2 linked regions of the Rattus norvegicus genome follow. The protein of the gene in region 1 binds, or shares a complex with, the protein of each later gene. Links are inferred from orthologs where the notes say so. Each region holds a gene or a part of one and is shown on either strand. Other genes may lie near its edges.

The links.
Region 2: Nup43 (region 1) and Nup37 share a complex: the UniProt entries of both Homo sapiens proteins name them as parts of the nup107-160 subcomplex of the nuclear pore complex. The link is inferred for Rattus norvegicus from reciprocal best matches to the Homo sapiens genes NUP43 and NUP37.

What each region holds. Positions count from the first base shown.
Region 1 is NC_086019.1:3,967,123-3,971,485, forward strand, and holds the start of Nup43 (nucleoporin Nup43), read left to right. Parts: upstream 1-1,343; 5' UTR 1,344-1,370; coding exon 1,371-1,490; intron 1,491-1,796; coding exon 1,797-1,919; intron 1,920-2,879; coding exon 2,880-2,957; intron 2,958-3,763; coding exon 3,764-3,944; intron 3,945-4,363. UniProt on the Homo sapiens protein: Component of the Nup107-160 subcomplex of the nuclear pore complex (NPC). The Nup107-160 subcomplex is required for the assembly of a functional NPC.
Region 2 is NC_086025.1:24,485,120-24,487,801, forward strand, and holds part of Nup37 (nucleoporin Nup37), read left to right. Parts: intron 1-846; coding exon 847-1,028; intron 1,029-1,344; coding exon 1,345-1,395; intron 1,396-2,682. UniProt on the Homo sapiens protein: Component of the Nup107-160 subcomplex of the nuclear pore complex (NPC). The Nup107-160 subcomplex is required for the assembly of a functional NPC.

The sequences.
Region 1 (4,363 bases):
GGCTGGCCTGGAACTCACAGAGATCTGCCTGTGTCTCCAGAGTGGTGAGATTTAAACACACGTACAACCCTTTCCGATCTTGTTTTTGCCTGAAGGTATGTTTGGGCGCTTTATGTGTACCAATGGATGGATGTGAGCCACCAGAGATACAGGTACTGGGAAGTGAACCCCGGCCCTGTGGACGAAACAAGTGTTATTAGTGGTTAAGCAATCCCTCCAGCCCTAACGGTTTTTAAAGTATTTTTTATGTACAATGAAGTACAACTAAGTGTGTAGAGCTGGTGCACATACATCCTCCTGAATTATTCTGTTTTAATTTTTACTTCTAGATTTTTCTCTGTCAGAGAGGCTAGAGTTGGCTTCTCAGCACCCACAAGGGTATGGCTCCCACCTGCCTATAACTCCAGTCCAGGACATTCATATCTTCAGGGACCTGCCCTCACATGCACATATGTGCCTGCAGATACATACATATGACTAATTAAAATGGTAAAAATAAAGTTGTTTTAAGGGCTAGAGAGATGGATCAGCAGTTAAAAATACACGTTGCTCCTCCAGAGGACCTGAGTTCATTTCCTAGCACCCACATGGCAGGGTATAACTTTCTGTAACTCAAATTCCAGAGATTCCAATCCCCTCTGTTGGCCTTACCACCAGGCATGAACACACAGTACACAACACGTACATGCAAACAAAACATTCATGCACATACAATTTTAGAATCTTTTTAAAAATGAATAATGTTTTTATTTAAATTAAGTTATCAAAGAATAATATTGAAGGTAATTGTCTGAGTTCTAAATCTGTAATGAACCTTTTAGTTTTGGTGGTGGATGATTGCATTTAAAATATATTTGATAATAAAATAAATGTATATTAGATAGTGAAAGTATAATATCTAATACGAAGTTCCACAGTTTCAGCATGGCTACGCTAAAAGCACAAAAGTACATTGGGCTGTCTAATTTTTGGGGCCAGATTAATTTCGGTGTGTGATAATTTTTTTTTATTTGAAACACTTTTATAATAAAGTTTTTATAAAAAAATAAAACCCTTAATTTTTTAAAGAAAATTTCCTCTGGGATTACACAGTTATTGCACAAATATATTGTCAGTGCCCTTAGACTTATTTGGCATTGGAAATGTGTCTTTTTGTCAAAGGGTTTGGTCTTTGTTCAGAGCTGCCTGCATGAATGAGCGTCACAAGCTCTTTTAGCCCAGGGGATAGTGTGTCCTCCTGCTGACGAGAATTGGCTATCTGCAGCCACCGTCTCCCACATGAGGTCTTATCCAATCAGAACTTCACAGGAAGGGGCGGGCCTGAGGAGCGCGCAGTGTGCTTTCTGCTGAACCTTCTTGCTGGCTTCAGCATGGAGGAAATTTATGCTAAGTTCGTGTCTCAGAAAATTAGCAAAACCCGCTGGCGGCCAGTGCCTTCCGGAAGCCTGCAGACCACAGAGACCTTCGCCACGGGCTCCTGGGACAATGAGGTACCCGGACTTGGGCGGGCCCCAGCTGCTGTGCTCCACGCCCCCCGCACTGGCGCGGGAAAGCGAGCTTGCCAGTCTGGTTTGGCTGCCCGCTACTTGAGAGCCCCCGATGGCGTGTCTGAGCCTCGGATCTGGTTTTAAACCCTCAGCAAGTCTGTAGTCATACCGTCCGAACTTGGCCATATCTTTGATCTTTTCCACTCTAACCATATCGTTTGTCTGAGATGCTGTTGAAGCAAGGTCGCCTGAAAGGCAATCTAGAGTTGACGTTTTCGTCACCTCAAGATAAAACTGTCCGCTTTGCAGGAAAATTGCGTTTCACTGTGGTCTATTGGAGAGTTTGGAAACTTGGATTCTGACGGAGGGTTTGAAGGAGACCATCAGTTATTGTGCGATATCAGACATCATGGGGATGTCATGGACTTACAGGTAAATCTGAGTTGTCTGCCAAAGCTAGCTTTGGGAATTTGAGGCTATATTTAGAGGTAACGAGGCACCTTATAGTTTGTCTGCCCTCATCCCTGATTTACAGGACACTAATCTATGAAATCTGCCCCCTCATTGTTTAGGCACTTAGTCACAGAAGTGGGGCTGGGAAATGGAATTCAGGTAAGCCAGTTTTAAAACGAATTGCCCAAGCCAGACATGGTGGTTCAAGCCTCTAATTCCAGTTCTTGGGATGCAGAGGCAGGAGGGATCTCAAGGCCAGCCTGGGCTACATAGCAAGACCTTATCTTAAATAACAATAATATTTGTCTATCTATGTGCCAAATGCTTTTGGCGAGTTTGATACAGGTCTGCTATTTTGTATTGCACATCTGTGAGTCAGGGTTATCATTGTGAAGATGGTCTAAAGACCAGATGAATGTAGAGAAGTGCTCTCTACTTCTAGTGTATGTATCCCCACCCTCAAGTGCTAGTTACTACTTTACTTGGTCAGATAAATGGGGCTGGTATCTTTTGAGCATACATAGTAAATATCGTGCGGAATTGTTCTTATGAGATTCTTTAACAACTTGGCGTTTCCATTTTAAAGGTTTATCAAAATGTGAACCAGTAATAAATTTTCAAAGCTGGGCTAGTGATAGATGCTTGTAGTCCCAGCTACTTAGGAAACTGAAGTAACAAGTCAAGATGAGTTTGGGCAATAGAGACCACCAGCATCACCCACCCCACCAGGAGCTCGCCTCAATCAAAAAACAAATCTGTATATGGATTCAGATGTCATATATTTTACTTGGTAAAAAATTTGCTTAATATATATATATAGGTTATTTGCTTCTTTAAATTTGTATAGGGTTTGCTATAAGTCAGGTTGAGCCAGTGAACTTTTTTCCCTGTTAATATTTTAAAGTAATCTATAATAATATGCAGAAATTTTCTGTTTAGTTTTTTGACCAGGAAAGAATTGTAGCTGCTTCGTCAACAGGATGTGTAACAGTTTTTCTTCACCATCCAAATAACCAGGTAAAGAATTTTGTTGGGGAGAAGCCAGGTCTTCATTAAGAGAGAGGATCCACTACCTAGAGAACTTTCTGTTGTGGCTGGGATGATCAATCAGCAATTGAGTGTGTATTGCTCTCAGAGACCCATGGTCCTACTCCAAGAACTCAAATCATTGGCAATAGCCTATAGCTCCACTTTGTCCAGATCTAAATCCCATGGGCCTGGAAAGGCACCTGCACATGTATAGTGCACATAAACTTAGGCAGGCACACGTGCATGCACATACCTTTTTTTGTTATTTTTGTTTTTTAAGACAGGTTCTCACTATGTAGATCTGGCTGGTCTGGAACTCCCTATGTAGACCAACCCGGCCTACATTGGCTTCCCAAGTGTGTGGCACTATACCCAGCTTTAATTAGTTTTCTTAATGGAATCATATAGAAAAATGTAGAGGTTAGCCCCTTACACATGAGTTTAATCTCATAAAACTTTAGAGAATGTATCAGCATTCAGTTATTTGGTAAAAATCATTAGTTTGAGATAAATGTGCTGAGTCTATTCAGAATGTACCAAAAAAAAAAAAAAAAAAAATAAGGGAAGTAGTTTCTAAACATCAGTATGCTCAAATACAAAGAAAAGGGAGACTTGTTCTTTCTTCTAGAGGGACATGAAATACAACTGAAAAATACTATTATTAGGCAGGCATAGTGGCTCACCTGTAATCCTAAACACTTGGAAGTTTGTCTCAAAATACAAAACTTCCTAGCGAGAAGGGCTTTCATTAGAACTTGGCTCTGATTAACAGTGTGCTCATTTCTGATGCCTAGACCCTGTCCGTCAGTCAGCAGTGGCCTACAGCTCACTACCATACAGGTCCTGGCAGCCCTTCCTATAGCAGTGCACCATGTACAGGAATTGTATGCGACAATCCAGAAATCGTTACAGTTGGAGAGGATGGCCGAATAAATCTCTTCAGAGTTGATCACAAGGAGGCTGTAAGAACTATAGGTAAGGAGTCCTATTTCTTCTATCCATTACATAGTAATTGGACTAAGTAAACATGATCTTAAAAGTTTGAAGGGTATGAAAATTACACTTGGCAGGATCCTTGATAAGATAGTGTGTGGGTAGTCCAGTGTAAATGATTTATAACAGCAGAAGGATGTATTAGGTGGTAGTGTTTTGTTTTAGCTAAAATTATCACATAATTAGGGGACAGTGGCAATTAGTATATTCTCAATTCTATACCATAAATAATACTAAAATATGACACTAGAAAATGTGGAATAGCATGGAGATGCTAACCCTAGACAGCAAATTACGAAGTTAACTGTGAGCTGACATTAGATATTTGTTACTGGCAAGATGAAAGGTGAAGCCAGAAAGGGAAATTGGGATCGATTGCAAAGGTATTGAATCCTTAGCAA
Region 2 (2,682 bases), on another chromosome or scaffold:
TGTGTGTACATATGTGTGTGTATATGTGTGTATACGTGTGTGTGTATGTGTGTGTGTATTTTTCTTTGTGCATTCTGTTTGTGATTTGCTTTCCCTCTTGTAAATAATTACAAAGCAAACTCCAAACCATTCAATACCTTAAATACTAGAAGTGAGATTTCTGACGCCACTCCCCCCTTCTTCCACCTCGTCACTGCTACCTCACACTTCTAGATGTCTGCACCTTTAAATCAGCAAAATTAGACGAACCTTCTCAGAAAGAAGGCACTTTACACAGTAGATAAAGATATTCTTTGGATATTAGGGATTAATGCTGTATCCAGCAGAATTGGAGAAATCTTGTCCATTATAAATCATATTGTATGACATGCTTTCATAAGTCTAAGAAACAACTTTCATACTGTAATTTTTTTAATTGGCATTTACTTTATAAATTTTTGAATTTGGTTACATATTTCACATCTTGATAACAATTTATTAAACATTTAAAATTATGGGAAACTTTTTTTTAATTATTGGAATCTTATAAAAAGGAAATAGAGAGGAACTAATAATAGCTACTCTCTCCTAATTTAAGAGTTCAGTATTTACTAGGTGCTTGTCCAAGTCTATAGGTACCTCTGACACTCACTGCTTCATTTCCTATGCGTCTGCCTCTGTGTGTGATATGTGTGTGTGTGTGTATATATATATATATGTATGTATATACACATACATGTGTGTGATATGTGTGTGTATATATACATGTGTGTGATATATGTCTTTATGACATGTAATCTCTGCTTCTTTCTCAAACTTGGCTAACGAGACACATGCGGGCTTTTCTTCTTCCGTCCTGTATTACAGCTAATGGTCGCAGAGAAGAACGGAACAATCCGGTTTTATGATCTAATGGCCCAGCAGGCAATTTTATCTCTTCAGTCAGAACAGACACCATTAATGTCAGCACACTGGTGCTTGAAAAACACCTTCAAAGTTGGTGCTGTTGCAGGAAATGATTGGATTATCTGGGATATCACTCGGTCCAGGTAGTTATGTAGTATGTCTGTCTGTTCTGTTACATAAATATGTTGTCAAATGACCCATTTAGCCATTCTTGTAGACTCCATGTGCAATGAAAACAAGTGTCTCCTGTAGAAAAAGAAGAGATGCTGTCCCTGGAGAGCCCAGAGCGGCTCTAAGCCGTGTCCATTGCTCGCTATTTCCAATTGAGCGCTTGCTTGGAATTTTGTTACAGCTTAAATATATTGGGCTCCAAAAAGAAAACACCTTAAAAACCTTCATTGAAGTTCATCTACTTGAATCTAACACATATTTTGTACAACGTAAACTCTTATTTTTTAGTTATCCTCAAGAGACAAGACCTGTCCACATGGATCGCGCACACTCGTTTAGGTAATGTGCGGTTTCTGCTGCGGTTGTGTGAATCCTTGATTTAGTGTATTCCACGGCCAGGATGACTTCCCTGCCCTCCTCTTTACATAGGACTGTGGGGGATTGGTTTTCCTCTTTTGTCTCTCTGTTGCTTTATAGGGGTTATTTTCTTTTCCCTACTAAGTAGTTGCTTTGTCTTTTGCTTTAGGTAAGCAGGAAATTTATTTTTCAACCACTTAGGAAATGTTTGTAATTCACAGAAACCATGTAGCCAGTCTACCAGTCTACCTCAAGGTCAGGATGGCTTGTGCTGCCTGCCTCCTCCCCTGTGGTGCTCTGTACAAGTGCGCATAGACCTATGTGTGCACACCAAGATCACTAATATGTCTTGAACATGCCAGTTACATGTTATTTTGTTATGTTTTCGTTTTTTATTTGCATTAACATATTTTGGTTTTTGTCATTTTATTCCATTGTATTATCATTAGGCAGCCTTAAATGACAGGAAAAGCAAAAAAAGCTAAGAACAGTGAGACATTTGTAATTTGCTGGTTTTTTTGTTTTATTTTTAAATCATGTCTGAAATATCGCTAGTAAAAATTACCAGGACTTCGTTATTATTAAGAATGAAATATAATCAGTATAGTATTAAAATCCCATAGATTGGGACTACAGAGATGGCTCAGTGGTTAAAGGCCCTGGTTGTTCTTCTAGATGACCCAGGTTCAATTTCCACCACTTGCATGGCAGCTCATGCCTGTCTGTAACTCCAGTTTCAGGGCTTCTAACCCCCTCACACAGACACACATGCAGGCCAAACACCAGTGAATATGAAATAAATTATATATTTATATATTTCCATAGATTATTATGAAATAATCCAAAGTTCAGAGATATGATCAAATATTTTTGAAACCAGTGACTTATGTATGGTTTGTGAGAACTGCAGAGGAGGCCTTCTCATCTCAGCATGTGTTAGCAGCTCTTCTCCTTAAAGCCTCGGCTGAGTGGGGAGACCTGACTTCAAAGCTCCTACCCTGCCCCGCCCTGGGGAGTGCAGACCGGTAGACCCTGGGAGCTCACTGACCTGCCAACCTAAGGAATGGTGAGGCTGTGGCTCACTGAGCGACCAGAGGACAGAAAGGAGCCCTCCATGTTTGTCAGAAGCTATGACTTCCTCACGCCAATTATGTCTCAGCCTAGAACTGAACGCTGGCAGAACCCAGCTGAGATTCAGTTGGTACAGAGAACAGATGGGCTGTTAAACAGTAATAATGTCTGAGACCAGGTAACTTAGTGTCAAAGAAT